3 linked regions of the Mytilus edulis genome follow. The protein of the gene in region 1 purifies or fractionates together with the protein of each later gene. This does not show direct contact. Links are inferred from orthologs where the notes say so. Each region holds a gene or a part of one and is shown in the gene's direction. Other genes may lie near its edges.

Region 1 (10,313 bases):
CAGTTTTTGGCTTATAACTCAAAAACCAAAGCATTTAGAGCAAATCTGACGGGGTAAAATTGTTTATCAGGTCAAGATCTATCTGCCCTGAAATTTTCAGATAAATCAGACAACCCGTTGTTGGGTTGCTGCCCCAAAATAGGTCATTTTTAGGAAATTTCACCGTTTTTGGTTATTATCTTGAATATAATTATAGATAGAGATAAACTGTAAATAGCAATAATGTTCAGCAAAGTAAGATCTACAAAAAAGTCAACATGACCAAAATGGTCAGTTGACCCCTTAAGGAGTTATTGCCCTTTATAGTCATTTTTTGACAATTTTTCGTGAAGTTTTGTTATCTTGTACAAAAATCTTCTCCTCTGAAACTACCGAGACAAATTTAACCAAACTTGTCCACAATCATCATTAGGGTATCTAGTTTAAAAAATGTGTGGCGTGACCCGGCCAACCAACCAAGATGGCCGCCACAGCTAAAAATAGAACATAGGGGTAAAATGCAGTTTTTGGCTCATGACTCAAAAACCAAAGCATTTAGAGCAAATCTGATAGGAATAAAATTGATTATCAGGTCAAGATCTATCTGCCCTGAAATTTTCAGATGAATCGGACAACCTGTTGTTGGGTTGCTGCCCCTGAATTGGTAATTTTAAGGAAATTTTGCTGTTTTTGGTTATTATCTTGAATATTATTATAGATAGAGATAAACTGTAAACAGCAATAATGTTGAGCAAAGTAAGATTTACAAATAAGTCAACATGATTGAAATGATCAGTTAACCCCTTTAGGAGTTATTGCCCTTTATAGTCAATTTTTAACCATTTTTCGTAAATCTTAGTTATCTTTTACAAAAATCTTCTCCTCTGAAACTACTGGGCCAAGTTCATTATCAGGGGCGGATGCAGGAATTTTCGAAAGGGGGGGGGGTGCTAACCCAGGGAACCCAGGGAACCCAGGGCAAAGGGGGGGGGGGGGGGTTCAAAACATATGTCCCGATACAAATGCATTGATCGGCAAAAATAAGGGGGGGTGCGCACCCCCGGAACCCCCCCTCCCCCTGGATCCGCCACTGATTATAAATAGAGATAATTGTAAGCAGTAAGAATGTTCAGTAAAGTAAGATGTACAAACACATCACCATCACAAAAACACAATTTTGTCATGAATCCATCTGCGTCCTTTGTTTAATACTCACATAGACCAAGGTGAGCGACACAGGCTCTTTAGAGCCTCTAGTTTTTGTTGCTGTGCAAGCAACTGACTCTTTACAGCGGTAGAAACCAGATCATGGCAGTCACTTATCATGACAAGTTAGAAAAATGTATTGCGGCGGGTTATATAATTATTTTTTATCGCCAAAACGACATAAATAAATGAAATAAAGTTAGTCTGCAATCTTTTTTAAAACAAGTTGGATCTTTTGCTAATTGATCTTTATCAAAACTATTCCAGAGATCACATAAAGGTTGACATTTGTCAGAATATAACATGTCAAGGTTAAAATTACCAAGCTCATTATCACATTTAAAAATGATAACATCTTATACAGTAATTAAAAAAAACTATTCGGAAAAAGTATTTGCAGGCGTGCACTAAAGGTTAATACACTACCAACTATTTATTATGATTTAAGTTCACCTCTATTGTCTTACATGTTATCTGCTGGACGGAATATCTGTTGTTTATATGATGGAAAGAAGACCAACGCCGCCGGAATTTCTATTAGTCGTCGATAAAGTTTATACCAATCAGCTTCAAATATAGCCTGGGGTCCTGGCTAATCTTGTCAGTATGACGCGCAGCTAGATTGGGCCGGATCCCAGGCTACTTCAAATAAACTATCATAACACGATATATAAAAAAGAAGATGTGGTATGATTGCCAATTAGACAACTCTCCACAAGCGACCGAATAACACTGAAATTAACAACCATTGGTCACCGTACAGCATTCAACAATGAGCAAGGTCCATACTGCATAGTCAGCTATAAAAGGCTCCGAAATGACTATGTAAAATAATTCAAACGAGAAACTAACGGCCTAATTTATGTACAAAAAATATATAACACATAAACAAACGACATGTACAACCACTGAATTACAGGTTCCTGACTTGGGACAGGCACATACATACATAATGTGGCGGGGTTAAACATGTTAGCGCCGGGGATCCCAATCCTCTTCTAACATGGGACAGTGGTGTAACAGTACAACATAAGAACGAACTATAAAAATCAGTTGAAAAAGGCTTAACTCATCAGATGAATAAAAATACAAATACTACAAATACAAGTTAGCATTACAATGACAATTCCGACCCATATATACCTGGCAGTTCTTTCTCTTGCGAGTACAGCTGTTTCCTGTTATTTACGAGGGTATGAATGCTCCCAGGCTTGTTTTCGGCTACCATTAGCGTCAAATTGGTTACTATTGGCTTTACATTGTATCATAGTTCAAATTATTCGTTCAGTGTTTGTTTTAACCTGTGTTAATTTGTCTTTTTATTGTGTTAGGCCATTTTAATTGATATTTTAGTGTGTCTTCCTATGTTGTGATGTTACACTTTTGTTTCAGATAAAGGTGAAGGTTGGTACCTATTTAAAAGTTTAAACCCGCTGCCTTTGTTTGCATCTGTTCTAAGTCAGGAATTTGATGTTCAGATTATGTCGTTTGTTGATGTGTTAATTTAAACATATTTTATTGTTCAAAATGACATAAGGATCAGACACAAGTTTTACAACTTAGTAGCGTCTTCTCCGAATGATGTGTTTCATAGGAGTTTCTCGTTTCTCGTTTCTCGTTTTTATATATAGATTGGACCATTGATTTTCCCGTTTGAATGGTTTTACACTAGTCATTTTTTGGACCCTTTATAGCTTGCTGTTCGGTGTGAGCCAATGCTCCGTGTTGAAGACAGTACTTTGACCAATAATAATTTCCTTTTACAAATTGTGACTAGGATGGGTAGTTGTCTCATTGGCACCCATACCACATCTCCTTACAACTAATTCAGGTGATATGGGGATCTTCGCCATTTTGGATTGTATATAACGGAGAACCTAAGGTCTAGATTTTCAATCAAATTAGCAAAATTTGGTGAGGAATGCAGATCACTTATAATGTGAATTTTCATTTAAAAGAATAGATTTATAATATTTCAACTGATACATATTTTTTTCAACAACTCGGAAATAGTGTATTTTCTGATAGAACTTTGGCAGGTGTCATCTGACCTTGACCTCATTTTCATGGTTCGGTGGTTATAGTTAAGTTTTTGTGTTTTGGTCTGTTTTCCTCATACTTTATGCAATAGGTCTAATATATTTGTTGTATGGAATGATTGTAAGGTGTACATGTCTAGCGGGCAGATGTCATCTGACCTTGACCTCATTTTCATGGTTCAGTAGTCAAAGTTTAGTTTTTGAGTTTTGGTCCTTTTATCTAATACTATATGCCATAGGTCAACCATATATTTGGTGTATTGAAATATTTTATGATCTTTATTTCAGTTGGGCTTGTTTTATTTGAGCGTGACCTCAATTTCACGGTTCATTGTACAGTGTTACGTTTTTGTGTTTTGGTCTATTTTTCTTAAACTATAAGTAATAGGTTAACTATATTTGTTGTATGGCAGCATTGTTAGCTGTACATGTCTGCCCGGCATGGTCCATCTGACCTTGAACTCATTTTCGTGGTTTATTGGTCTCGTTTAGTTATCTTGGTTAATGTTTAGTTTATGTGACAGTTGTAATAAAGCTTTATACTTAGGTCTATCAACATAATATCAATGATAAGTAAAGAAGGGGAGACATTTCAGTGTGTGCACTCTTGTTTTTATATAAGTTGGTATTTTTTAAACTTTATTTTGAATTAAAAAAAAAAGTTTGCAGGTGGAAAATATAGTATAGATATCAATAAAAAAAATCACACGGCAAGTACACCACTCCTTGAAATTTTCTCTTCCAGACAATATGATGAAATTTTCTCTTTCCAGACATATGATGAAATTTTCTATTTCCAGACATATGAAAATCAGTAATGATAACTGTTTGTTACATTGAAATCGAAAATTCAGAAGTTGAAAACTATTTTTAACTTTTTTTTGTATTCCAAACCGTTCCCGGAGCCGTAGCAATAATTTTTACCCAGATTGGTCAATAAGCCAAGATGGCGGCAAATGTTGAACTTGTAAACAGAGCTTGGACTGTTTTAACAGACACTTTGACACCTGGAGAAAAAAAAGTAGCAATTCTTTTTAGAGTTAAAATATTTGCCATCCTTTTACTTAGGGGTCAATTTACTTTACGGTGTTGGTAAGGTTTCGGGGGTAAGAGCCGGTGTTATCTGGTTTAGATCTGGTTATGGTTGGGGTTTGTTTTCTAAAATATAAATCTGTCTGTATCTGTAGTGGTACGTGTAGAATCCTTTTTAGGCTTTTATACACGGTGGAGAAGAGTGCTGTTGTTATGGGCAGTGTTCTTGTAGAGCGGTCTTAAATGCTTCTACAGAACATGCATGCACAACTTGTTGGTTCCAGTGAATAGTTGTTTCCACAAAAAATTAATGTTTGTACTGTGGTTTGTTGCCGGTAGGTCGTTTCACCACCACACACCGCCAAACACCACTGAACACCCCAAAAGTTTATTATTTTGTCTTTTAACGTTATAAATGTGACTTAAATATAACTTTCAAGTTATTAATTCAACAAATCACAAGATTTAGAGTTCAAATATTAATTGTTTCTTCTTCTTCTATCTCTATAATAGTTGTACCAATAAGGCCAACTAAAATTAATTAGTAGATTTACATCCAGATTTTAAAAAAAAACTGGGGTGGGTGGGAGGATTTTATTTTTTAAATTTTATTTCATACGAAACCCTCTTGTGTCCAGTTATTAATACCGCAGGGCGTATAGGCAAGTGTTAAATAAGCTTATATCATGTACATAATTTTTCAAACTCTTGAATAAATATCTCTGATTGGCAACCACTGTTATACATGTAATTACAGCTTTAGAAACTGGCCTATATATAAACATAAAAAATGTAGAGAAACATGAGAAATGCTCTCTTCAGTTGGACTATACCAACACCAAATTCATTTTGCTTTCTAAGCCATTGTGTGTAGTAGTACAAATGTAGGCAACACATGTATTATGAGTACAGAATAAAATGAAAACTCAAACAGTGTTGAAAGTAATAGGTTTGGTGCTAGAGCAAGATATTGTAAATCATGAACTTAACCAAAAAGAAGTTGTTGTTTAATAAATATATTGAGGGTATTGGGACAGAGGGTGTTTGCTGTTTATCAACAAAAAACGACAGCCATATAAGGTAAATGTAAAGGCTTGCTGTAATGACATGCGTATGATTGTAGACTTTTGTTTTAGCTCAATTACATACGGTCATAAATCTAACAAGTTAGTGCTTATGTCAATTTCTTTAATCCCTTCATGATTTTGTACCAATGTGTTCCATGACTCTTGCCCTTTGGATATGCCCTTTGGATATCATTCACAGTCCAATTTTCTGACACAAAGTAATTGTATAAATAAAAATAAAAACAGTTTTCTAATCATTTGTGACACACTGCCATTTGCGTTCTTAGACACAGCTTTTTACTCGTAATCCGAATATTTCATGCCTTTCTCGTATTCAATCTCTATTCTCGGTAGATAATGATGTCATCATAGAGCAGCAGAATATGCCGACTTAATCATTTGAGATAACTTGAAGGAATACAACACCAAAATTTGAAACAGGAAGTTTGAATGCAACGAAATTATAAATGGTTACCGGTAACGGACATGAAAAAAATTCGGAAATCGTAAATTTTTTAAATAAAAAAAATCGGGGCGGGACGATTTCAGAGGGGCGGCTGGGATGAAAATCTATCAATTAATTTTAATTGGCCTAATAAGAAAAGAGACTTATGTCAAAATCTAACCGAGAACAGAGATCGAAGATACTTCAACTTATTACTTATTATGAATACATTTGAATTTTATCATTTTAATAAAATACACAATGTAATCTGGAAGGTGATGAATCCAGAGACATTTTTCCTTGTATTGATTATCGATTTTAACACAAAAATGATGCCTATAAAAATCTACAAATTGTTTAATTATAAGTGATTAATAATTTGTTTTATCGTTTTATTGTATAATATCACAGTTTCTCATAGTGGTTGGTGGTTTTTGGGGTGTTCGGTGGTGAAAAGACTCACCCGTTTGTTGCTAATTGATACTTTAAGTCCTCTGGTGTTATTGTTTACTTGACGTTCAATAATATTGCCATATGTGTGTGTTAAATATATCATAATGTAATCGTTCTTTACAGCGATATGGTCTAGGATATATGACCCTAAAATTATAGTTTGGTATTCTTTCTATTTAACACATCATACATGTCATAGTTGAATTATGGGGACCCAGGGGTTGTGGGCTCCCTTTATGTACACATACTATGATGTAGCTACAAATTTATTATGACAATGTACATACATTGTAATTTTAATTGTTACCTGTTATACACCTTATCACTTAAGGCTTCATTAAAATTTTGGCATCATAATACAAAATATCTGAAGCCACAATGGAAAAATGGTTGTTACATATGCAAAATATATGTTCAGACTGGCACAGATCTAAAAGTTGTTTAGTTTGCGAGCAATCTGTGGAAAAAAATTCAATGTAAAAAACAATTACATTACTATTTGAAATGAAAAAGTTTTGAGTTGATACAAGGGTGTCATATATATTCAACCTTTATCTTACTTTATTTATTTGAATTTTTCAGACTTCCCAGGCATATATCAGTTCAGAAGTTGAATTCCAGAATGCTGTTGAAATTCTATGCAAGCAAGATTTAGGACACATCATAGAGGAATGGTTTCTGGATACTTTACAAGAAGATTTGCGACAAAAAGTTGGTCCACAGTTCTGGAACTACTTTTCTATACAGCCAAGTGAAACAGACCAACTTCTTGAAGCAGTTGAATATTTACATAAAGTGACAATGGACTATCTCCCCTGTATTCAAAGACTTGAATCCACAACCCAAATAAAACGTTGGAGGAAGTCATCCACCTTATTTAATACATCCTCATTGACAGAAGCTTTCATACTTCTAATGAAATCAACATTGTTTTCCATTTTTCCTAGAACTTTCCAAGAAATAGTGAATAAATTTTATTCAGATGCATTTAAAGTGTTTCATCATACAACAACTGAACCTGATCAAGGTATACATGTACATGTTGTATTTCTAGTCCTTAACTGTTTACTGGCAGCATATATATGTCATGTATATAGATGTTATTATAAATTATCTTTGATAATCTCAAGGAGATTGATTTTCTTGCTTGAGCAAAAGTGAGAAAAGCAATCTCATATCACTCAACTAAACTGAGAAAGGAAATTATCAATCAGTAAGATAAAAGGAAAATTTCATAAACTAGCAATAAAGTTAGATACTTTTTATTTAAAAATCCTTTATTTTGCAATAGTACAATAATTCATTTTTCCTTTTTCTTAAATTTTCTTGGAGAACTAAAGGGTATGTGTCTTTCATTTAGAAGCTTAATCTCTTATCATTTACTTTTTGTATTGTAGACAGTGAAGATGATGAAGAAACCAGCTGTAAAGGGTGTGAACAGCCCTCAGAGACATGCTTATGTCAACACATAATGTTGAACTTCCATAATCTTAACAGAAAACTGTAAGTGTAAACAGTGACATGCTCAGGTTCACACATAATGTCTTACTAAGTGTAAACAGTGACATGCTCAGGTTCACACATAATGTCTTACTAAGTGTAAACAGTGACATGCTCAGGTTCACACATAATGTCTTACTAAGTGTAAACAGTGACATGCTCAAGTTCACACATACTATCTTACTTCCACATATTCTAAACAGAAAACTCTAATTGTAAACAGACACATATTCACTTCAATAAAGTGATATCATTACTGAATAATCACTTACAAAAAGTCTCAGGATCAATGATACCTTGACACACTTAAAAACCATGTGAGCTATTGTAAAAATTTGAAGTGCATTGTCATGATCCCTCTGTTCCTCTGTTGTAAACATTTAATAAAATCTTTCCTCTGAAACTACAAAATGTTACCAAACTTTTCTAAACTGTTTCTTAGGGAATCGAGTTTAAAATGGTATCAAGGAATTTGAACAAACAACAAACATGATTGATGTTGGTAAATAAGAAGATAAGGGTTAAATTCCAGTTTTTGCCGTATATCTCAAAACCTATTAAAAGCAGTAAGAGTAAAACTTAAATATTAAATTTTCTTCAAATGTTAATTTGAACAAAATTGGTAGTTTGTGAGTGGATATTATTTTTAAAACTATTATAGAGAAAAACTTGAATTATAAAATCATGAAGTCAATAATGTGTACAAATATTAAGCCACCCATGCTGAAATTGCCAAGTGCCCCCTTATAGCAGCTATAGCTCTTGATTGATGATTATTAACCCTATAGAAATTATACCCCTGAGTGACTATTTTTGCTCTTTTTTCATTTTTGTCACAAATTTTAATAGGAACATTTTGAAGTTGAGACTAATTGTTTACTATTTGAATATTTCAGAGATGACATTGGTATCCTAGAGAGAGTGTCTGGAACAGCTGTCACAAATATTGTACATGAAAGAATAAAGACATATGTAGAGAACTCCTGCAAAGGGAACTTTGAAACATCTTATATTGATATATTGGAAACAGTATGTTATATAGATAAAAAGACATAGAAAACATATCATAGACAAGAGAGACAATTACCCAATCAAAGAGCAGAGAATAGGCAAAGGTCACCAATAGGCCTTTAACACTTTGCGAAAATCCTTCACCCTGAGGCGACCTTCAATTGACCCCTTAACAAAAATGTGTACTAGTTCAAAATAAATGGATGTCATACTAAACACCAAAACATATAAATGAACTAAAACTAATAATCATACAAGACTAACAAAGGCTAATGGCTCCTGACTTTGGACAGGCGCAAAGGTATGACAGGGTTAAAAACGTTTAGTGAGATCGCAACCCTCCCCCATACAGCTAGGGCCACACTTAAAAAATTTTAGGTTTGCCCAAACCCTGCCCAACATTGAGACAGTGTAGGTATGCATTTTCTTTCTTTTTTGGCAAAGAGAAATTTAAGTAGCAGATGTTTATTAGTCTTCATGCCTATTTGAATAAAAAAAAAAATCACATCAGGGCAATAAAAGATTTTTTGAGTAGGCAGCATTTCTGAGAGTTCCTAACTTCCTGGTTTTTCACTTTTTTTGGTGATACATTATGGTAAAAGCATGAATTGTCTAGTTTGCAGTAAACAAGAAAATACTATTCATTGATATTTGTGTAAATATTTACAATATGTACTACATGTACATGTACTGTATTAAAAGTTAAACTAAACAATCTTTTTCTTTATGTTGACAGTGGTTAGATACAAAAGTTCTTGGTTGGTTGCACCTGGTTTATTCGGGTAACAGAACACACATATACTCTGACTGTATTGATGGATTCAAAGGGAGACTACTCCATTTCTTGTATGAGTCTTTTGCAAACATTCAAATTGAGCAGCTCTTCAATATAATCATAGAATTTCCTGAATCTGAACCAGCAATATTAGATCTTAAGATGTGTTTAGAGAAAACTGATGTGAGGACCCAGTTGGTAACATCACTGAAATCAGCATTAGAAACCAGACTTTTACATCCAGGTGCGAAACATCAGGCATTTTCCTGCATCAGTTTAGGACTGTAAATATTGAATAACAAATGATAAAGCCCTTTTTGGTAAAAAAAAAAAAAGGGGCCCAATTTTGTAACTTTTAAAAGCTATGGTGGTTAAAAAGGTTAGCCACTATTTCAAAATTGCTTATTTGACTGATTGAATTACCTATGTTTATTTAAGGAGGCTCACAGGTACAAAATTTTCATGTTTTTTCATTACAAATTTTATTTATAACACTATTAGTATAACTTTATGATATGGTACAAAAATCTACCAAAAAAATTGATTCAGTTTGGCCCCAGATGACAATTAAAATGGTTTTATCATTGAAAAGCTCCAAATTATCTCCCTTTGGTGTAAAAATGTAATTTTTTGGCATTTTGAAATTGAAATATCTTATTTAACTCATCGGTGATCTATATTTTTTATTATTTTTTTCAAATAAGCTGTACATAAACTAAATAATTGTAAAATTTAAGTGATTTCTGTAATTTGGTTTTTTTTAAAGCAATTGCTTTTATGCCGTCGCGTATGGCCATCTTTGTGAC
Region 2 (10,370 bases), on another chromosome or scaffold:
CCTCAACAAGGCCAAGGTACATCCAATGTTGTATACAGTAGCTCTATAAATTTGTCTTATTCTTTTTAACTCTTTTTCATTTAGATTTATCATTACAAATGCACCGTATTTGTGGACACACCTTTGATAACTATTAACAAGTTTGACTGATCAACAGATAAGAAAAATTGAAAATGGGGCATACATTCTACATGGCATTATTTTTCTTCTGGGGGTCAAAATTTTATCCAAGACAATGTTAACCTAACTACAGAAACAATAAAAGTTCTGCATGAATTTGGTTGGTTAAAAGGCAATATCGGTCCGGTATGATGTTATCCAACTTTCTACAAGATTTGATCTGTTCACGCAGGGGGGAGGGTTGAGATTGCAAAAACATGTTTAACCCCGCCGCAATTTTGCGCCTGTCACAAGTTAGGAGCCCCTGGCCTTTTTTATTTTTGTATGATTTTTTGTTTTAATTTCTTGAGTATATTTCAAAGCTGAGTATGACGTCCATAATCATTTCAAACTAGTACATTTTTGTTTAGAAGCCAGCTGAAGAACGCCTCCGGGTTTGGGAGATTCTTGCTGCATTGATGACCCATTTGTGGTCGTCGGCCGTTGTCTGCTTTTTGAACGTGTTGGTGTCTCTTTGACAACTCCCTCATGTCCATTTCCAATTTTTAATTCAATCTGTATATAGTAGATCTTGTGTCCGCTTTGAGCAAAACCTCTGCTGTACTGGTATATGCCCATGCCAAGGAAGTTGTCTTTGTATGGATATTATTCCGATAAGAATGATGAGATAACAAGTTAAAATGAAGCTATAATATTCTGATATCGCAATATTTCGACACCTAAATGGTCATACATCCCATTGGTCCGACGTTTCGATCATTTAGGTTATACGCTAACGGGATTTTAACATAAGAAAGCCAAATAAAAGGTTCAATATTAGGATAACCTTGTCCTCCGTTTGAAGCGGTGAAACAAGATATAAAAAAGTAATACGTAGTGCCAAAGTAGCCCGAAGGTCATCACTAGCGTAATTTAAAATAAGTACAAACTTCTTTGTCAAGTGTTGTTTGATTAATAAGATATCTCAAGATACACGGCGGCCGACTAAAGTAAAATCAAACACAGTTTAACGTAACAATGAGTGGTCACATTTTCCTTGTGATGTTTTATATTAAAAATTAATTGTCAATTTGTTGATATAAATATACTAGTAGCACTTTACTCATTTTAGTAATGTTAGTTAGTACTCTTGTCATATCTGATTTAGTGATGTAAATGAAATTGCGGTATGATCCAGACTCAACATATTGCACTACAATAATAAAAAAAAATCCGCCCTATGGTTGTCTGATCTTGAAGCGGTTGGTAGGCTTTCAAACTAACAGGAGACCATACGCTTCCTGAATTTTAATGTACAGCTCATCATGGAACTTTCTAAACAATTAAAAATATGTCATATGTTATATTTTCCCCTTGCTTCAAATATTTTGCTTCGAATTATTTATATCAAATTTGCAGATATATGATTGTAAATACGTGCAATCAAATGATATGGAGGTATAATAAGATTTAGATAATGCAAGGGCGACTACAGATACATTTGTGTGACTTAATGGTTGATTTTCAAAGACTCCGAGAGAAAACGTTACGTAACATGCGTTACCGTTAAAATCAACCAACATTAATTAATACTATGATAGAAATATATTTCCCAACAGTAATACAGCATTCCTATAAAATTGTTTCATTTTTGTATTTGTTTTGACTCGATTTTTCTACTGGAAGTATCCGTGAATTGAAATTGCACCCATGACCTTTGACCTCGATTTAAAAAAAATGCACCATAATTTCTTTTGACGATCGACCGGGATATTTAGAAAGTACACATTCTTAGCTTTCCAGTGATATATAATTTAGCCGTGTGTTAGGTAGGTGCATTAAAAATGTGAATTTGGCTCTCATATCACTCGCCTATAGTGTATAGTGACACGTATATAAATTATTTGCATTTCTTTAAGATAATCAAATCATTGAAAAAGATCAGAGGCGGACTCGGCCATTTTTAAAAGGGTTGGGGCCACTGAGTGTTTATTACATAATACAAGAGATACGTTACCCCGAAATACTACAAGCACCAAAGTAAGATTCGTGCGTATTCGATCCGACGGACGTCAACTGTTTACCAGCGGCTCCTTGACCCTGTATAGATAATTACATCCTTAGTGGCACCGTTCAATGTCAACTTCGTAAACTTTGGTTTTGGAGAATCTAGGTCATCCTGCTTCGCCGACGCAATCTTTGCCAGCCAAATATCAGATATTGCGGGGAAGAGTGAGTGGCTATCTCTAATGGCTGAAATTATAGTTCTTACAGTAGCCAAAGCAATTCCAATACAGTTTATCTGCGACACATTTTTAAGTGGTTTTGTGTCAAAAAAATGTCCTAAAACTTTTGAATACGTGCATCCTCCAAAACAATAAATAAAAAAATAAATAAGTGCTAACAAATTCACTGCCCCGATGATCGATCCGTCAAGGCTTAATTATATTCTGCACCTTCCTGAACTTGCACTTTAAATTTATTTATAAACACATTTCCTACACCCGAGGTGCATAGTAGATGGAAGGCGATAGAAAATGGTATAAAAAACTGAAAAAAAATAGATGTATAAATATATATCTGTAAAAATTATTTAAACACGATTAAAAAGATAACAAAAACTACACGAAACCTATAATCAATTTAGTGGAATAAATGTATATGATTATATATGAAATATAAATGATAAGTGATGTGAACCTCAAAAAAAGTTTATCTGATTACAAGCAATCCTTGGTCTAATTTGTCTAACTTTCTCCATTTGCTTCATTAAGCATTGGTAAGGTCAGAATGTCCTTCTCATAGACTATATGTCTACCCACCTACCCTTTTTCAAAGATGTAATCGGAAACACACATATTTTGTGGGGGCCTAATAGAATATTACCCATTGTGGGATGGTGTATTTCCCATTATCCTTGGTTATGATATCCATTATGTTTATAAGATAAGGAATCTTCTAGAACAGTTGTTTTTGAAGTGGAACATTTGATTTCCAAGCCCGCAGAAATTGTTAAATGTTTAACTTTAACCATTTTGGATTAAAATTGTAGTTACTCTGAATCTCAGGCTTGTATTGTCCTGAATATGTGAAAAAGTTTTTTTTTAATCAGATAGGCATGGAGACTAAAATTCATTTGACGCTTTAATTTCTCTTTGTTGTAAAAAAAAAAAAAAAAGACTACCTACCTACCCACTTGTTCAACCTTTGGGTAGGTTTGGACAAATCATAACATTTTTAAGTGTAGCCTAATTAAACAGTGTACATAAATCAAAAAAAAATACAAACTATTATCTATATTTTAAAATCGGCAGTTCAAACAAACGAAACATAGGAAATTGATTGCTAAACTTGATATGAAATATTTGCTTAAAGTTATGAAATAAAATAACTTGGAAATTTACTCACACTGTCATTGACTGTAGTTTACCAAGTACTGCACGAAAATCGTAAATATAAAAAACGAATCACAATCTTTCTTCACATCTGAATCAATGAAACTGATAAGGGTACCACTGATAAGATTTTACACGTCATGTTTTAAACAGTGAAAGTACGTGTAAAATACGGGATTTGAAATATCAAAAATAAGTAATAATGACAAAAAATATTCAAGTTTGGTAACATCATGAAACGTACTGACATTTAACATGGTTAACTGTCAGGTTATGTAAGCGGCCATTTTTTTTTAGAAATAATGGGTTAATTGTAACACTTGTAAAACTGACAAAAAACAATGCCTAAATATGAAAAATACATAGTTCATAACCCTGTACCGATAATAATTGCAATGCTCGCCTTAAGCTATCACGTGCACTAGTCTTGTTCATCTTGACAAAATCTTTTAAAAACCTCTACGATAATATTTAAGTTTGACAATGTTTGAGTATTTTAGCTGACATATGATTTCTGATTACAAGTTTAATTGATTATACTTCATGTCGAAATGTATAATATTGTAATTAGTTATCTGTGTATTTCTCAGTCTTATGTGTTCTTGCATTTATTTGTACTGTTTTCTGTCATGTAAATTAATATTGTCATTTTAGCGGTATATTTAAAATTGCCATTAAGCGCGAGGTTTGGCTAGCCACAAAACCAGGATCAATCCCAAATTTGTTCTTAAAATACCAATTAAAAAATATGGAAGTTGTTATCTTATATTTCATATTTAGGCATTGTTTTTTTTCTTCCAAAACGTTCCGCACGGTCAGTTTAAAAAGTGTTACAATAAACCCATTAGTAAAGCCATCAAAGCTTTGGATGAAATTAATTCTAAAAATTGATACAGATACAGTTAAGTCGGCCTCATATCTTGACTTACATCTATAAATTGACAATGAGGGTCGGTTGAAAACAAAACTTTACGCATGCCAAGAAATCCTCGCTAAAAATTCCGGTCGACCTCCTACGGCAGTCATTAGTAGCTAAAGATTTGATTTCATTCAAGAAATTAATTTATGACCTTCATGTACGTGTCGCTTAGAACACGGCCATATACCAAATGGTCAATAATAATCATTCATGTAATTTGCTCTATGGGATATTTTCAGAATTTCAACAGAGGCAATTTCTTGGCATGACAAAAAAAGATGATTTCAGTTTTCCAATTGTGAACTTTCCATTTCTAAGTAGCAACATTCCAACAGCACCTGCATACGGGGTATATATCCCAATTTGCTTGTATCTCCTATCATGATTTTCTTGATAGAGGGTTGCTGCTCACAAGGAAGCTATTAAACCAAGAGTTCCAAATGGTGAAGTTGAAATCATCCCTTGGTAAATTTTACGGACGCCATCACGAGTTGGTTGACCGTTTTTGGAATAACCGTTTCAGCGAAATGATATCGGATATGTTCCTTACGTCGTAACTACAGTCCCCTTCCCTTTCATGAATGTGACCTACCGAATTAGACTATTTACCGGATTTGTTATCACATTAGCAACACGACGGGTGCCACATGTGGAGCAGGGTCTACAATGTGAATTGTTCATGGTTAGACAGAATAAAGACTGTTCTAAACGAATGCGGTATGACTATCTCTAATGTGTGGGAAACGATGATTGTGAAGTATTTCTATATGTTAAATTTCAACAGGGACTTTCTATACTAAAGTTAGTCAGGAACATATATACTATACATTAATATACTGTTTCCAGAGTTTGTAAAGAAAGTCCCTGCCGATTTCACTGATTACTCAGCTTTTGTGGACCACATGAAAACCGCGTCTGGTCAAGTTTTACCAATTTTGATCTTTGAACAAATATGTATTTTAAATGGTGAAGTGATTTTTTCCGTTAAAAAACCCCCCACAAAATCAAATATATACTTATAATTGAATACAACAGGGACCAAACAAAGTGGCAAAACCATTATCAATTAAGTGTTCGGTACACCCCCCTTTTTTCAAAAAATAATAAAAAGAAAATCACGAACTACAAAAAAAAAAAAAAAACGAAAGATGCAACACAGAACCCATATATCTTCATATTTTACTTTATAAGAATATGTCATGTTAATGAAGAAATTATACAAATATTTTTTTTAAAAGTTTGTAAAGGAAAATGTGTGTCGAAGGGAAACGAGCCGGGTCCCAGAAAAGTAACCAGTCTTGAATTATCGCCCCTGTGACCCAAATATTATTGAAATCGAGGCGGTTAAAAAGAATGAATACAATCAACGAAAGTGTGAAAGACAGGGCAAATAAAACGTAAAATAGAAGTAATATGTTACTTCAAGAACCCGTACAGGTATGAAAACTGACAATGCTATTAGATGACTAAATATACCTACCCAAAATAAGTCACATTTCCTGTAAATAAAGTGTATTAGAGCTAAAAAACAGAACAACTAAAAGTGACATGAATCCATATAAACAGGTGTCTTATTGTTATTCGTAGATTTCCTCCTTTTTAACGATTTGAATTAAATTCATTCAAAATTGAATTGGCACCAGCAGTGTTCACATGAAGAAATTTATTGGCATCAGAAATATATGATGAGCCTGACAGTCTCAACTGAACTTGAGACCATTGTCTTGATAGTTGGCAAGGACCAGTCTGCTCAGAAATTCAGCTTTTTTCTTCAAAATTCCCAATTGCAACATCCTATCAAATCACTCTCTCTACATGCAAATGAATCAGCAATTACACACATGATTAGTCTTCAAATATTATCAGTCTGGGGTAACCATGATCATGATAACAACATCAGAACATCAACAATTTTGATTTGTCCCTCTATAAAAAAAAGTCGCTGTCGCGTAAATTTGGCACCATGTTTTTTGTTAAAATTTTCTTGAATATAGACCGTGTTTACTAAAGAACATGTTTTTCAATTAGCGGAAGAAAAATCCTGTCCAAATAACCACTGCAGTCCTACCTTTTATTGTGTTTGCACTGTATAATCCTGACCTTCACATAATCCAGGATTATTTTGTATGGTGGAATCCGACATTGTTATTGCCGGAAGTGTTGCCGTGGAGTTCCACGTGCTCTCCATTTTCTTGTGTCTCTTGGAGCTTTTTGTCATCTTTATGTAAAAAGCACGGGAAATTGTATCATCAATGACAATGATCTTACTGGAGAATAACGAATGTTATGGAACAAGGGATCCTCATAGAAACCAAGATGGCAGTTTTACAATGTAAATAATCTTAAAAATTTGAAGGTCAGGATTATACAGTGCAAACACAATAAAAAGTAAGACCGTAGTGGATATTTGGACTGGATTTAACTTTCACTAAATAAAAACATCATCTTGAATAAACACGGCTGATATTTAAAAAAATTTTAACAAAAAAACATGGTGCCAATTTTACGTGATCGTGATGGCGACTATAGTCTAGTCCAAATATTCATGATATTTATGAGTCTTGCAATGCTATTTCAAATAATTACACAAGGCTATTTTGATTTTCTTCTGAGACATCTTTCTACGATGTCATAACGCTGAAGCCATTTTTAGTGTCTTCTGAAGGCTTATGGTGCCGACTTTAAAATCATTAATCCTCTGTATGCCGCATTCGTTTCTGTGTATTACAATTTCATAACAACTTCTGATTCCAGACATCGATTTTAATGCATGATTATGCATTTGAATCATTTAATTTGTAAATTAGGATTGAAAAACAATCACTATCGTAAATGTGTATCCTTTTATTTATGTTAATTATTAGATTTCATCTCTTCTACATGAACGTTATTTGTTTATTTGTAACCGGATGTTTTTACTGTAGATATTTGTAGTACGCATGCATGAATTTAGTATCGGGACAACTCGCCCTGTTTACATGTTCGCCCTTGAAGTTACGAATTTGCAATCTTGTAGACAAGAAGATTTTGTTTTTAATAAATAAAAGGGATCTATTTCTTATTAAATTGTTGTCTTTATTCATTGTTTTCCTTTGTCATGTGAATTAGATACCCTTTTACTTCAAATGGTTTGAATCTATTTATAAAATTATTCAAGACTCAGTTGACAAGAGCAGTCAGTACGTTGCTGTTGGGAGAATTTTTATTAAACTCTAAATGCTTATAGAATATGAAATATAATCTAAACTGAATGTACCTCCTTCTGAATAATTTATTGCAATATAAATATAAATCCCTTTTGATAAGAGAAATCTGACTTTTGTCAGAAATATTTTTTTCACATGTGCAAAGGTAATCACGTGTGGCGGCCATATTAGTTTGTTTACAAATTTGTTAAGAAGCCTCTAGAACCATGACCTAACCATAAATAGTCTTCCGAAAACTTAAACTTTATGCAATACTATTTTATCAATCATGATTATTTTCATAAATTTAAATTTGATTATTTAAAGAAATAAAATTATAACAATTACCATTTTAGATTAGAGATTCTCCACAGACATGCTTTGATCTATTTATAGCCAAATTAGTTTACCTGTGTGAAAATGTAAATAATGGATATTTAATTTGTTTACTAAACAAGTAAAGACAAACTATGGATGGGAGATAATAATTCACATAAATATTTCAGGACATTTGACTTATTTTAATAAATATAGGATTTAAAAACTGCAAGTGCAAACAAATTCAATCATTACATAATCAGCTGATAATTTTTTAAGCAACCATCGTGGTGATGTAACTGATAAAAAACACTCCATCAGTCCTCCAGCCCTTTCACATATTAAGCAATATATCTGCTTAATTATTATTGCAGAATATTCAATGAATATACATTCATCGTCTAATTGAATATATCGGGTAATCTGATATTTTTAGCTGACATTTTGGGTATCCGGTTGGCCGGAGTCTACTGTACTACCTTAAAGTAAAATTTTTAAGATTTTTAACTCAAAAGTGGGAAAATTCATTATATTTGGAACAACTTTTCTAAATGAGGGGTCAAATTAATAAAGAAGATATATAACATGTATAAGTTAAGAAACATCACAAAATTCTTTTGACATGTTTTGACCATTTAATACTTAATAGATGCATAGTTCTTGGGGAAAAGTTTCATCAAATAATATGAATATAAAGGTGCTCATTTTTTACAGTGGGTTGTAATGTTCTTCCAGTGAGGGTTACCCCTCATTTGGAGTGTTGTTCCCAACCTGTTAAAAGTCCATCTTTGTGCATAATTCAAAATTGGAAATTTCTACAAGCCATGATCTAATATTCTTACACAAATAGATAAACCCTGATCTGCTAGCTACTTGTTCATCTTTTCTACCGATTTAATAACTAGAATCATGCAAACAGACTTAAGAAAAAGACATGCAAGTTTATCATACAAATATGACACTTTTTCTAGACAATCCAGATCGTGCAAAATACTTTGCTAAAAATTGTAACGTTTGAAATTGTTGTTGCGCACTAAAAAAAACCATGAGAACTTTCAAAAGTTGGCGGGTATGTAACAAGTCTTACTATCTTTATGCCCCATTTATGGGCATTATGTTTTCTGGTTTGTCCGCCCATCCTGCTTCAGGTTAAAGTTTATGGTCGAGGTAGTTTTTGATGAACTTGAAATCCAATTAACTTGAAACTTAGAAATCGTCACATGTGTTTCTTATGATATGATCTTTCTAATTTACCGCCAAGTTAAACATGTTTTTACCTAATTTTCACAGTCCACTGAACATAGAAAATGATTGTAGGGATGGGAAATCCATTTACTTATGACACATTCTTGTTTGAAGAAAAAAAATACATCATAATAAAAATGGAACAAAGCAGCCAGGGTTAGTGGGGCTGCTTTTATGGTAATTCAAGTTACCTTTTATTCACCTTCTTCCACCTCAGAGCTATCAGCTCTTTGATTACATCTTGACTTTGAGAAAGAATTTTTCTTTGGGGGGGAGGGACCTTGAGAACAAATTTTGGCATGTATTCATCATTGCCAGCTAGTTAATTTTACACAGTTACAAAGTCTTACATGTACCTTTTTTGTGCTTATCGATGCAAAATATTCCAAAAATACCCAAAAGAAATGATAAAATAAGAAACGATTGAGGTTGGCAAATATTTATTTTGTTTTCAAAATGGTTTTCAAGAATTTCCAAGAAATGTCACTTCCAGTAAATATAAACATGATAAATGATTAAACTAGTAAAAATTTGATGGACCTGAATTTCAAGAACATTGAATTTTCAGTATCCATAAAATTCAGGTCTGTCAAATTTACCAAGTTTAATATTTTTAGTCTTTTTCCCTGAAATCTGAGTAGGGTTCTGATCCTTTTAAAAATCTCCTTGACACTAAAACACATGTAAATCAAACATATAAAGTCAAATGATTCATGATTAAAATAAATAAGTTGAATTCATTTTTTACTACATATTGGGAAAACAACGATATAAACATGATAAACACAACATGAATTTGTCAATTTCAGGCAGCAATATGGGACTCCCTGAACCATTATGCCTATACAGATGCCACTTTCCTGGCTGAAAGATTATATGCAGAAGGTAAACATTATTTGAATTGTTAACAAAATTACATATAAATACTTTAAATTTCATTTATATATATTTGTTTCACAAACCACGCTGAGAGCTGTCACACATGCACTTACATGTACACATATACATGTACATGTATCATGTAATTCAAGTTTTCCATCGCTTTTGAAGAAAAAAAAATTACAAAAACTAACAGGATTTTTTTAATAATATTTTATTTACATGCAACTATTCTTCTTTATCAAATTGACAATTTTACCCAAAATATACCATTTGGAACAGTTGTAGGAGTTGCATTTCAAAGAGAACAGATATAATTTAACATGTTGA
Region 3 (10,462 bases), about 5.3 Mb from region 1:
AATGCTGAAATTTTTCCATATTTACAGCTTCGTTTCCGATTTCCGCCATTTGCATTTGTCAAAATATTTGTTTTTATTTTCCTTCTATTTTCCTTCTACTGCATGATTTTACCATAAAAATTGTCGGGATTTCAAGCGCAAATGAGACCTTGCATATCCTAGATTCAAACGAGGAAAAATTAGAGAGAACCCAAATGAAAACCGAATGGTTTAAAGAGTCCTTATGAAAAATCCTTTTTCATCGCGGCATATGCCGCGAATAGCAGTGGCGAACGGCGTACGTCATCGCGGCATATGCCGTGTATAGCGTTGAAAGGGTTAAAACAACATTAAATCTAAATGCAATGAAAGATTGTACCAGACAAAAAAAAAAATTCATGACTGAAGAAGCTAGAAAGATAATGTGACTTGTATATATCTTAAAGATAATGTGACTGGTATATATCTTAAAGATAATGTGACTGGTATATATCTTAAAGATAATGTGACTTGTATATATCTTAAAGATAATGTGACTGGTATATATCTTAAAGATAATGTGACTGGTATATATCTTAAAGATAATGTGACTGGTATATATCTTAAAGATAATGTGACTGGTATATATCTTAAAGATAATGTGACTTGTATATATCTTAAAGATAATGTGACTGGTATATATCTTAAAGATAATGTGACTGGTATATATCTTAAAGATAATGTGACTTGTATATATCTTAAAGATAATGTGACTTTTATATATCTTAAAGATAATGTGACTGGTATATATCTTAAAGATAATGTGACTTGTATATATCTTAAAGATAATGTGACTTGTATATATCTTAAAGATAATGTGACTGGTATATATCTTAAAGATAATGTTTTGAATATTTGGCTTGATAATTTTAAGTGGAATATGCCGTCCTGATTCAGTCTTGGCTATTTACTGCCATCATACCTTGATAGTTTAGCATCACCAGAATATTTCATTTCTTCAAATTCTTGTTGTAATTTCTCCTTATCCTCCTTCAGTCTTGTTATACCCTTTTCATTGTCTTTCTGTAGATTTTCAAGATGTTTTGTGGTATCTCCTTGGTTTTCAAACCGCCTTACAACTTCCTGTAAACATTTAGAATCAATTAAAATTTTGTTTGTTTTTATTGAAAATCTGTTAATGTATAAATTATTTTCTAAGTTTGACTCACTTGCTTCTTTTTTATTTTTATTTTATTAAAAAAAGTAATAAAAATCTGGATACAAAACAGTTTTATCAACAAATAATTGACTATTTTTGTGTGGCATGAATAACTAATAAACTGTTGGATGTTTGTTATATGTGAATAACTGATGTATTTAATGTTGTCGTGTGTTGAAACTTCATTATTTTTATCACTGAAGTAGGACTTAACCCTATATGTTCATTTGCATATTTGTGATACCTCCAGACATTTTTTTTTAGAAGACCATAAATGGTTAAATGCAAAATTTAAAGTTTTAACTGGTTAAAAATTAGTCATGAAATTAAGAGATGTAATCATATTTTTCTCTTTTCTTGTTAACTGAAAATCTACAGTTAAAATCTTTAACAAATGGTCCCAAGTAATAAACTGAGAGTATAAATTACCATAGTATCAGAAACACCAGTTGCTTCTTTAATTCTTCTAAAAGCTTCCTCATATGATGTAATCTTTTGTTGTTGTTCTTCACCCTGTAAGGCCTGTTTCTCCTGTGGTGTTAGTTCATCTTGCTGAATAGAACCTCTCTGTTGCTAAAGTGTAAACAATTTAACAGATGTACATATGCATAAAAAAATTCTCTGTAATTCACATCGAAATGAAATTATTAAATAAAAATTTGGAAATTAACAACATGTCTTTTTTTCAAGTGATAAATCTTTCATTATCTTGTTTTTGGCATGTATAGTTGTAAAATACAGATATCTAGAAAGTTCAAACTATTCTTAAACTGAATAAGAAATTACATCTGACAAAAATAAAGTTTTCCTAAAAATGTATCTTTCAAAGGGAGATAATCTTACAATTCTTCTTTCTATTCTTTCATGTTGTATTTTCTTTTCTTCAGCCTCTTTCTTCATTTTCTGTAATTCTATTTCTCTCTGTTTCCTTTCTGAGTATACGATCTTTTCATGTTTAGCTAATTCTTCCTGTGCTGCTGTTTTGGAAATCTGAGCATCATCGTGCATGGCTTTGAGTTCCTTCAGTTCTGCTTTGACACTTCTGATTTCACATTCCATTGAGTCCAATACACTTGGGAATTTTTCTGCTTCCTGTAATAATCAAAACATCATAATTCCTTTAGTCAATAATAGACTTGAAATAAATGAAATTAAAGTGGAAAAGTTTTTTTCTCTCGAAGTACTGTTTCCTTGTAAGCTGCTGCTCTCCTATGTGACTATTTTTCTGAGAATTTAAATAATACACAACATAATGCCAATGCTCGGTAGAGTTATTGTTCTTTTAATTTAACTGACAATTCTTTTTGTTTATAAAAAAAATCAGTATTTTATATCTTCTGAAATACTTGTTTTTCTAACAATAGACAAATTAAATTTAACATTTTGAATATTGTCTTGAAGGTTAGAGATCGAGTCAGAATTTTTTTTTCAAAAAATATTACAGTTCACTTGAATATTAATCACTTAGCCATAACCACTTCATTACAAGTTGGTAAACATTTTTAAACACTTACCACACATAATTTTCTATTAATATCCTGGTAAATCCTGTACAAATGTGTGGCTTCATCCATCTTCAGTTTTGTTTTGTCATAACTGTTTTCAAGGTATCTAAGAGTCTGAAAAATAAAACCCAACAAATATATTATCTCTCTTTGAATGTTTTATCATTGAATTTGCACATTACTTAAATAAAGATTTAAAAAAAAAGTTTAACTATGTGCAAAAATGTATACTTCATGTACAGAAGGATGCAAGATGTTATTTTAAGCTAAGAAAAGTTGCTAATAAACCAGAATTATAATTAAGTAAATGTCAAATAGATATAAGATGTGGTACAATGTATGAGTGCATTCAATGAGACAGCTCTCCATCCAAGTTGCAATTTGTAAAAGTAAAATATTATAGGTCAAATTATGGTCTTCTACACTGGAGCCTAGGCTCACCCAACAGCAAAGAATGTTACACATATACATGTATCATGTATATATAGGCATTTTTTTTCAATTACAAAAGTAGTTTATGTATAGCATGAAAAAGCATATAAGTAATTTACCTGAGCATCAACCGATTCTCCTTTATCTGTAGAGACAGCATCAGCAGAGTCCTTCTGCATCTGATCATACCTGGTCTGTAAAATCTCTATCTTCTTTTGTTTCTGAGCAGACTGATGTTTCAATGCATTTAGTTTCTTCTTTGAATCACATAATTTGTGTTTCATTACTGTAATTGCTTGCTACAAACATACAAATAGAATGTCAATATTTCATATTTTTGTAGAGTCAATGTGAAGCTGGCTTCATATTCCATATTTTTTTTTAATTTTGTATACATATAGGTTTTGAAATAGAGGCCTTTTATAACTTAGGATATAGTGTAAGAGAATTATTCATATTTTTTAGAAATGGTGAGTCCCATGACAAACATTAAGTAGCCAAGTGTATTCTGAATCTCAACAAGAACATCTATGTGGCTTTAAGTTGTCAACTTCAACAGGTCTCTATAGATTTCATGTTGATACATATTTTGCAAACAATCTTGTATAGTACAATGCAATGATGGTCAGCCACATTTTTAACTATCATCTGTAAAGTTGTGAAAGATATTTTACAATTGATACTTACATCTCCAGTTTTATTTTTGAATTCAGCTCTCTGTACAGGTTTGTCTTGGAAGGCTTTATTAATGACATGCTGATCTTGCTGCAATTTAAAATAAAATATTAAATTTTTACAATACAAATAAAAGAGAAATAGTGAATCTATAAACATCATGAAGTAGAAGACTGTGTTAAAGACAGGGTTATCTCACACGTCAAACAGTAAGATAAACAGTTTCTAACTTGTTTGAGTTTGAGATGAAATCTCATTATTGGGTGACAGTCTTGTATATTTTTTTTTTTATAGATGTCTAAAACTCTGATGATAAAGTCAACAAAGTAACAAAAATAGATGGAACTGAAAATTCAACAAACAAGTTTTACAGTATACAATGTTGTGCTGTGAAATATATTCATGGCTTACCATAATAATTTATATGAAGCAAATTACCTGATGGTGATATAGCAAGTTGATTCATTTTACAAGTAAGAACCTCATACACCCAACCAAAAGATGAAAAAAAAACTAGAATACTTTAGGACGAGGTAATGAATCTATGTTATACTTACAGAGAGGGAATCACTAAGTTTCTTTCTTAATTCCTTATCTTCTTTTCTCAGTTTTGTGACAGTGTCTTGATTGTGTTTCATAGCATGTTGAGATGTCTCGTAATATGCCTTTCGATCACCCTCTACAAAATTTACATCGAACAATTATAAAACAACATTAAAATGAAACTGGTAATTTCTTTGTATGTTTATAAATTAAAGTTTGATAAACAGAAGGATAAATATTTTGGGTAGTGCTGGGATTTGATATAATTTTCTTACATATATATATAGAGGTCAAGTGGGCATCACAAAGCCTGAAAGATTTTGATGAGTCCAGGATGCATGTAATTTTTTGTGTCATAAAAGAATGAAATATGACGAAATACAACTTAAACGATGCATGTTAGGTTGGTAGTTTTTATTAATTTTTTATATCAATAAAAATTATGACCTCTCAATAGTTATTGTTCAAATATATACATGTAACAGACATGTTGGTTTGCCAAAGCCAGAGTTCCATAAAAAAGATTGGGGCAATAGCCTAGGTAGGGTTTTAACTTTACTTAGAGTAAAGTATACACCTACCTTATCCCTAGAAATCGGTTCTTCTTGAATTTTTGACTACATACAATCACTTTCCATCATGGTGTCAGATATTTTCTATTATGACGTCAAAATTTTAGGGGAACTTTTGTGATGTCCAGTAATGCCGAAAAAAAATCGATAAGGTGTATAGTGAAGTTTTGGCATTTATTTATTTGAATTTTACCATTTTCTGTTTCTGCCAGACGTCATAATTATTTGGAGGCGTCCCAGAAAAAAATTAAAATAGCCTTGCCAGACGTCATAATTATTTGGACTAGTCATTTACCAGATAGCTGGGCCAGGGATCACCTATATCCCTGCACTTTTAATGTTCATCAAGCATCTTAGTGATCGACATAGTCTTACTGTCATAGTACAGGATAAACTAGAAATAATGATTTATCTGTAGGTACATGTACTTAATCACAATTCCTTTATGACAGCAGTGCTGATTGTCAATTATGATAATTCAATTTGCCGAAAATTATTCAAAATAATTCGTCATGTTCAGGATGTTCGTGGGTTTCGAACCGTCGAACTCGAAATTTGTCTATTCAAATCTATTTCAAAATAAATTAAAAAAAAGTTCAACTTCAATAATTTAGTCATGCCTTAAGAATTAATAAAGTGCATATCGGAGTAATTTCTGTGCCGTAAACATGGCCATATTATCAGATTATAGGTCAACAATAATTTTTGGAATTGAATGACAATATTGTTTAGTCTCGTCTTACCAAGGAGTGCGATCTTTGCCTTGAGTTCTTCAATTTGTTCCTGGACAGGCCGCTGCATTACGGCGTTTCCTCCAACCGGCATCTTGATGATAACAGACGGACAATCTTTCGCACAGTTTGTTGTCCTATTTTAAGTTTCAGTTTGTTGGTGCGTCTCCAAGGTGCCCTCAAAGTGCGCAGGTCCAAGTGGAGCTAACTCGACATGATTTATTATCTCCCTTGAACGAAGAATACGAATTACATTGTTTATATTTTTAAGTTTATAGATATAAAGTATTACGTGGAGGAATAAATAGTAGTAAGTACTGCGAAACGGTCCCTGCTAAAATTTAGTAAGGATAACAAAACTGAAATCAGTTGTTGGCAAAATAAGAATCAATTGACATAAAGAAGAGAGAATATGACAAATCGCCCCACTTTTTTACCAACTCGCCCCACTTTTTTACCAACTCGCCCCACTTGTTTACCAACTCGCCCACTTGTTTACCAACTCGCCTCACTTTTGTTTAGGAAAAAAGGGTAAAATCCCATTGAAAATACATGTAGGCTAGATAACTTTTATGATAGCTCCATTTATGAAGGACAAAAATCCCGCTGCCAACTCGCCCCTCTTATATACATATAAAAAGATGTGGTATTATTGCTATTGAATGAGACAACTCTCCATCCAAGTCACAATGTATAAAAAGTTAAAGGAGAAAAATTAACGGGATTTAACCCTTTTCTCAAGTGGGGCGATTTTTAAAAGTGGGTCAAATTGGTAAACCAGTTTGGTGTGATTTTTTTTAAAAGTGGGGCGAGTTGGCAACTAGAGGCTCTCAAGAGCCTGTGTCACTCACCTGTTACTGTATTTACTGATGTCGGCCATCTTGGTTGGCAGGCAGGGTCATTAGACACTTTTTTAAAATAGATACCCTAGTAATGATTGTGGCCAAGTTTGGTTAAATGTGGCCCATAGTTTTAGAAAAGAAGATTTTTGTACAAGTTACAAAAATGACGAAAAGTTGTTCAATATTGACTATAAAGGACAATTACTCCGTAAGGAGTTCTCTGACAATTTTGGTCATGTTGACTTATTTGTAGATCTTACTTTGCTGAACATTATTGCTGTTTACAGTTTATCTCTATCTATAATCATATAATAGTATTCAAGATAATAACCAAAAACTGCAAAATTTCCTTGAAATTACCAATTCAGGGGCAGCAACCCACAATCAGTTGTCCGATCCATCTGAAAATTTCAGGGCAGATAGATCTTGACCTAATAAACAATTAAACCCCATCAGATTTGCTCTAACTGCTTTGGTTTTTGAGTTATAAGCCAAAAACTGCATTTAACCCCATATGTTCTATTTTTAGCTGTGGCGGCCATCTTGGTTGGTTGGCCGGGTCATCGGACACATTTTTTTAACTAGATACCCAAAAGATGATTTTTGCCAAGTTTGGTTAAATTTGGCCCAGTAGTTTCAGAGGAGAAGATTTTTGTAAAAGATTATTAAGACTTACGAAAAATGGTTAAAAATTGACTATAAAGGACAATAACTCCTAAAGGGGTCAACTGAAAATTTCAGTCATGTTGACTTATTTGTAAATCTTACTTTGCTGAACATTATTGCTGTTTACAGTTTATCTCTATCTATAATGATATATATATTCAAGATAATAACCAAAAACAGCAAAATTTACTTAAAATTACCAATTCAGGGGCAGCAACCCAACAACGGGTTGTCAGATTCATCTGAAAATTTCAGGGCAGATAGATCTTGACCTGATAATCAATTTTACCCCATGTCAGATTTGCTCTAAATGCTTTGGTTTTTGAGTTATAAGCCAAAAACTGCATTTTACCCCTGTGTTCTATTTTTAGCCATGGCGGCCATCTTGGTTTGATGACCAGGTCATCGGACACATTTTTTAAACTAGATACCCCAAGGATGATTGTGGCCAAGTTTGGTTAAATTTGGCCCAGTAGTTTCAGAGGAGAAGATTTTTGTAAAAGTTTACGGACGACGGACGCCAAGTGATGAGAAAAGCTCACTTGACCTTTCAGGTCAGGTGAGCTAAAAAAGTGGGTCAATTTGCCAGTGAGGCATTAAATATTTTATTGAGCTTCCATCTAGAAAACAACTGTCAACATATATGACATATAACCAGTCTTTACGATGAAATGTTAAATCTACAGGCCCGGAGCTCAATTTTTGAAAATTTTTAGTTAGATTCTGTTGGCCTGTAAATATGATTTTTACAGGCCCGAGAGCAATTTTACAAGCCTGGGCTGCCACTCAGCGTGAAGACTGATATACATGTAGCAATTTTTAGCATTGACATAGAATTTGGTGAAAATGCTGTAAGCTGTTTTTATAAAGTTCTAAATTTGAGTCAAATTTAGAACTTTTTTGTCGTAGATGAGGATCTACGATTAGAACAAATCATTTCCACTATAAAATATGTCATGTATCATTGTATGCGACTCATAAAGTTGAACAACAGAATTGTGCTGAACTTTCTTCATTATTTGTTTACCTATAAATAATTTAATACCCTGTCTTTTACAGTAATCAAAAAGTCATTCTTTTGATAAAGTAATGGATTCTTCAATATATAAATGTATAACAAACACAAATTAGAGTTATCAATATGATTAACGATTAATCAATTTCACAAAAATCCTTCATTTGTCAGTTATCTTACCCATTCAATGGCATCAATATCACTGTTGTGTAAAAGAGTAAAAAAAAACACTTAAACATCTGAAGCAACAGATAGGAATAATAATCCATCTGGTAAAGGTACTCCTGCTTGATTTGACAAATATCGGATGCATTTGTCATGTCCGTTGTTTTGATTGCACATATAAATTGCCTACACACAAATGTCATGTATTCGATCATTAAATACAATATAACAAGTTGAAATTTAAGTGTATATATATATGTCAAAATGATAGAAATCTTTATATTTTTTGTGCTCACAAGCAGATGGATTATCTTATTTTATTATCTTTGTGCAGTGAAGCTGACTTTGATATTTTGTAATTCAGGACTGAAATACAGCATAGGGATCCTCATCTCTAAATTTATCAAATTGATTTGTTTTGAATAAGAATGCTTAACTTTTTAAATATTTATTTTTCAAACTTTTATTATTACTTGATGCATATAAATCTAAAAAAAAATTCTTAATGTGGCTTTTTTGTAGACAAATAAAATGGACAGTGAAGTTTGTCGAGATGGAAGATTAATGGACTTAGTGGATGAAGAATGGAGAAAAGATAAATTACCAATGGAAGATATCAATGTTCCACAAATGGAATTACCAGAACTAGAACCAGATAATGGACCAACCAACGAGACACTTACTGAACAGGAACAAAAGTGGACAGACTTAGGATTATCAGTCTTACATGAACAACCACCAACTACAACCAACAATTAGATGAATAAGAATAAATCTTGTTTCTTGAATGATTATCAAATCATCATACATGTGATAGGCAACAAGGGATCTGTTGGACAATGACAAAGATGATGAAATTTTGCTTGGATATATACAATGTAGCAGAAAATATACAGTAAACAAACATATAAATTTCAGCAATATGTATAATAATTATTGAACTGTAAATTGAAAAATATGGATGACTTTGCATTTGTTTTCATGATCAATACTTCATTGAGACAAAATGGATACATGTGCATATATATGTTTTTTTTGTTTTTTTTTATCATTTTCTTCCTGTAGTGTTACACATGTATAGTACAAGATATATGAATTAAAAAAAAAATCAACTAATTTAAATTGATTATTCACAAGTTGATTATCAGCACCAACTGAAAAATCTGCAAAATTTCTCTAATATTGTGAAATCAGAGTGAGGAATACACCTGTAGTGAAATAAGCTGACATTTTATTAAAGTTTTAAACCAAATGTTTAGAGATGTCTTACAATTGAAGGTCTTTTCACCTGTCTCAAATTATCTTTAGAATAAAAATATAAATCTTGCACTGATTCCAAGCATACAAAGTTTGTGATACTTTTTTTGTGAAATAAGGAGATATTTAACAACTTCCAGTCTTCTACATGAGTGATTACATAAACTTAATAAAAGTCAGACAGACCTTAACACCTTACAATTATTCAATACACCAAATTTAGCTGGCCTATTGCTTTTAGCATACAAGAAACAGACCAATTAACCATGAAATGAGGTCACGGTCAAATGAATTATACCAAAAAGATATGCACATCTTTGTAATTATTCATACATCAAATTTAGTTGAACCCATTTCTTGAAGTATCTAGGAAATAGACTTAATCAGGAAAACTTGTAAATGAAGTTAAAGTCAGATTAACTTTTCCAGACAGACATGTACACCTTGTTTTCATTAATACACTATTTGAGAATCACATAACCTTTATCTTTGATCACTGATCCATTAACCATGAAAATGAGATCAAGGAAAGATGATACCTATCTGACAGACATGTTGACCTTACAATCATTCCATACACCAAATAAAGTGGAACTACTGCTTACAGCTTCTGATCACATAAACTTTAACCTTGATCACTGATCCATGAAATGAAGTTATAGTCTGGTTAACCCTTTCTGACTGACATGCAGACTTGCAAGGAACCCATATACCATTCCTCGTGTACATAGTTATCTTAGTTGGATAATAAGTGAGTAATTCACATGACAAAAAAGCATTCTGCGAGTATTGCATGTTACATGTTGTCTGCTCTTTGGTTGGGTTGTTGTCTCTTAACATATTCCCAATTTCCATTTTCAATTTTATCGTCCCCTAATGGTT

Evidence for each region. The genes of interacting proteins can lie anywhere in the genome.
Region 2: the proteins of anaphase-promoting complex subunit 2-like (region 1) and cell division cycle protein 27 homolog purify together in Homo sapiens (affinity purification with western blotting; 20 studies listed by BioGRID and IntAct, with this or other methods). This does not show direct contact. The link is inferred for Mytilus edulis from reciprocal best matches to the Homo sapiens genes ANAPC2 and CDC27.
Region 3: the proteins of anaphase-promoting complex subunit 2-like (region 1) and anaphase-promoting complex subunit 13-like purify together in Homo sapiens (affinity purification with mass spectrometry; 3 studies listed by BioGRID and IntAct, counting the BioPlex papers as one, with this or other methods). This does not show direct contact. The link is inferred for Mytilus edulis from reciprocal best matches to the Homo sapiens genes ANAPC2 and ANAPC13.

What each region holds. Positions count from the first base shown.
Region 1 is NC_092345.1:6,934,033-6,944,345, forward strand, and holds the start of anaphase-promoting complex subunit 2-like, read left to right. Parts: upstream 1-4,141; 5' UTR 4,142-4,170; coding exon 4,171-4,245; intron 4,246-4,375; exon of another isoform or gene 4,376-4,413; intron 4,414-6,803; coding exon 6,804-7,248; intron 7,249-7,618; coding exon 7,619-7,724; intron 7,725-8,617; coding exon 8,618-8,750; intron 8,751-9,468; coding exon 9,469-9,751; intron 9,752-10,313. UniProt on the Homo sapiens protein: Together with the RING-H2 protein ANAPC11, constitutes the catalytic component of the anaphase promoting complex/cyclosome (APC/C), a cell cycle-regulated E3 ubiquitin ligase that controls progression through mitosis and the G1 phase of the cell cycle.
Region 2 is NC_092357.1:17,612,904-17,623,273, reverse strand, and holds the start of cell division cycle protein 27 homolog, read left to right. Parts: upstream 1-5,720; 5' UTR 5,721-5,826; coding exon 5,827-5,850; intron 5,851-9,970; coding exon 9,971-10,046; intron 10,047-10,370. UniProt on the Homo sapiens protein: Component of the anaphase promoting complex/cyclosome (APC/C), a cell cycle-regulated E3 ubiquitin ligase that controls progression through mitosis and the G1 phase of the cell cycle.
Region 3 is NC_092345.1:12,227,124-12,237,585, forward strand, and holds anaphase-promoting complex subunit 13-like, read left to right. Parts: upstream 1-5,812; 5' UTR 5,813-5,945; intron 5,946-8,845; 5' UTR 8,846-8,854; coding exon 8,855-9,082; 3' UTR 9,083-9,184; downstream 9,185-10,462. Other genes in the region: outer dynein arm-docking complex subunit 3-like, read right to left, coding at 941-1,101, 1,607-1,750, 2,021-2,269, 2,692-2,796, 3,234-3,413, 3,802-3,879, 4,347-4,468, 5,648-5,729. UniProt on the Homo sapiens protein: Component of the anaphase promoting complex/cyclosome (APC/C), a cell cycle-regulated E3 ubiquitin ligase that controls progression through mitosis and the G1 phase of the cell cycle.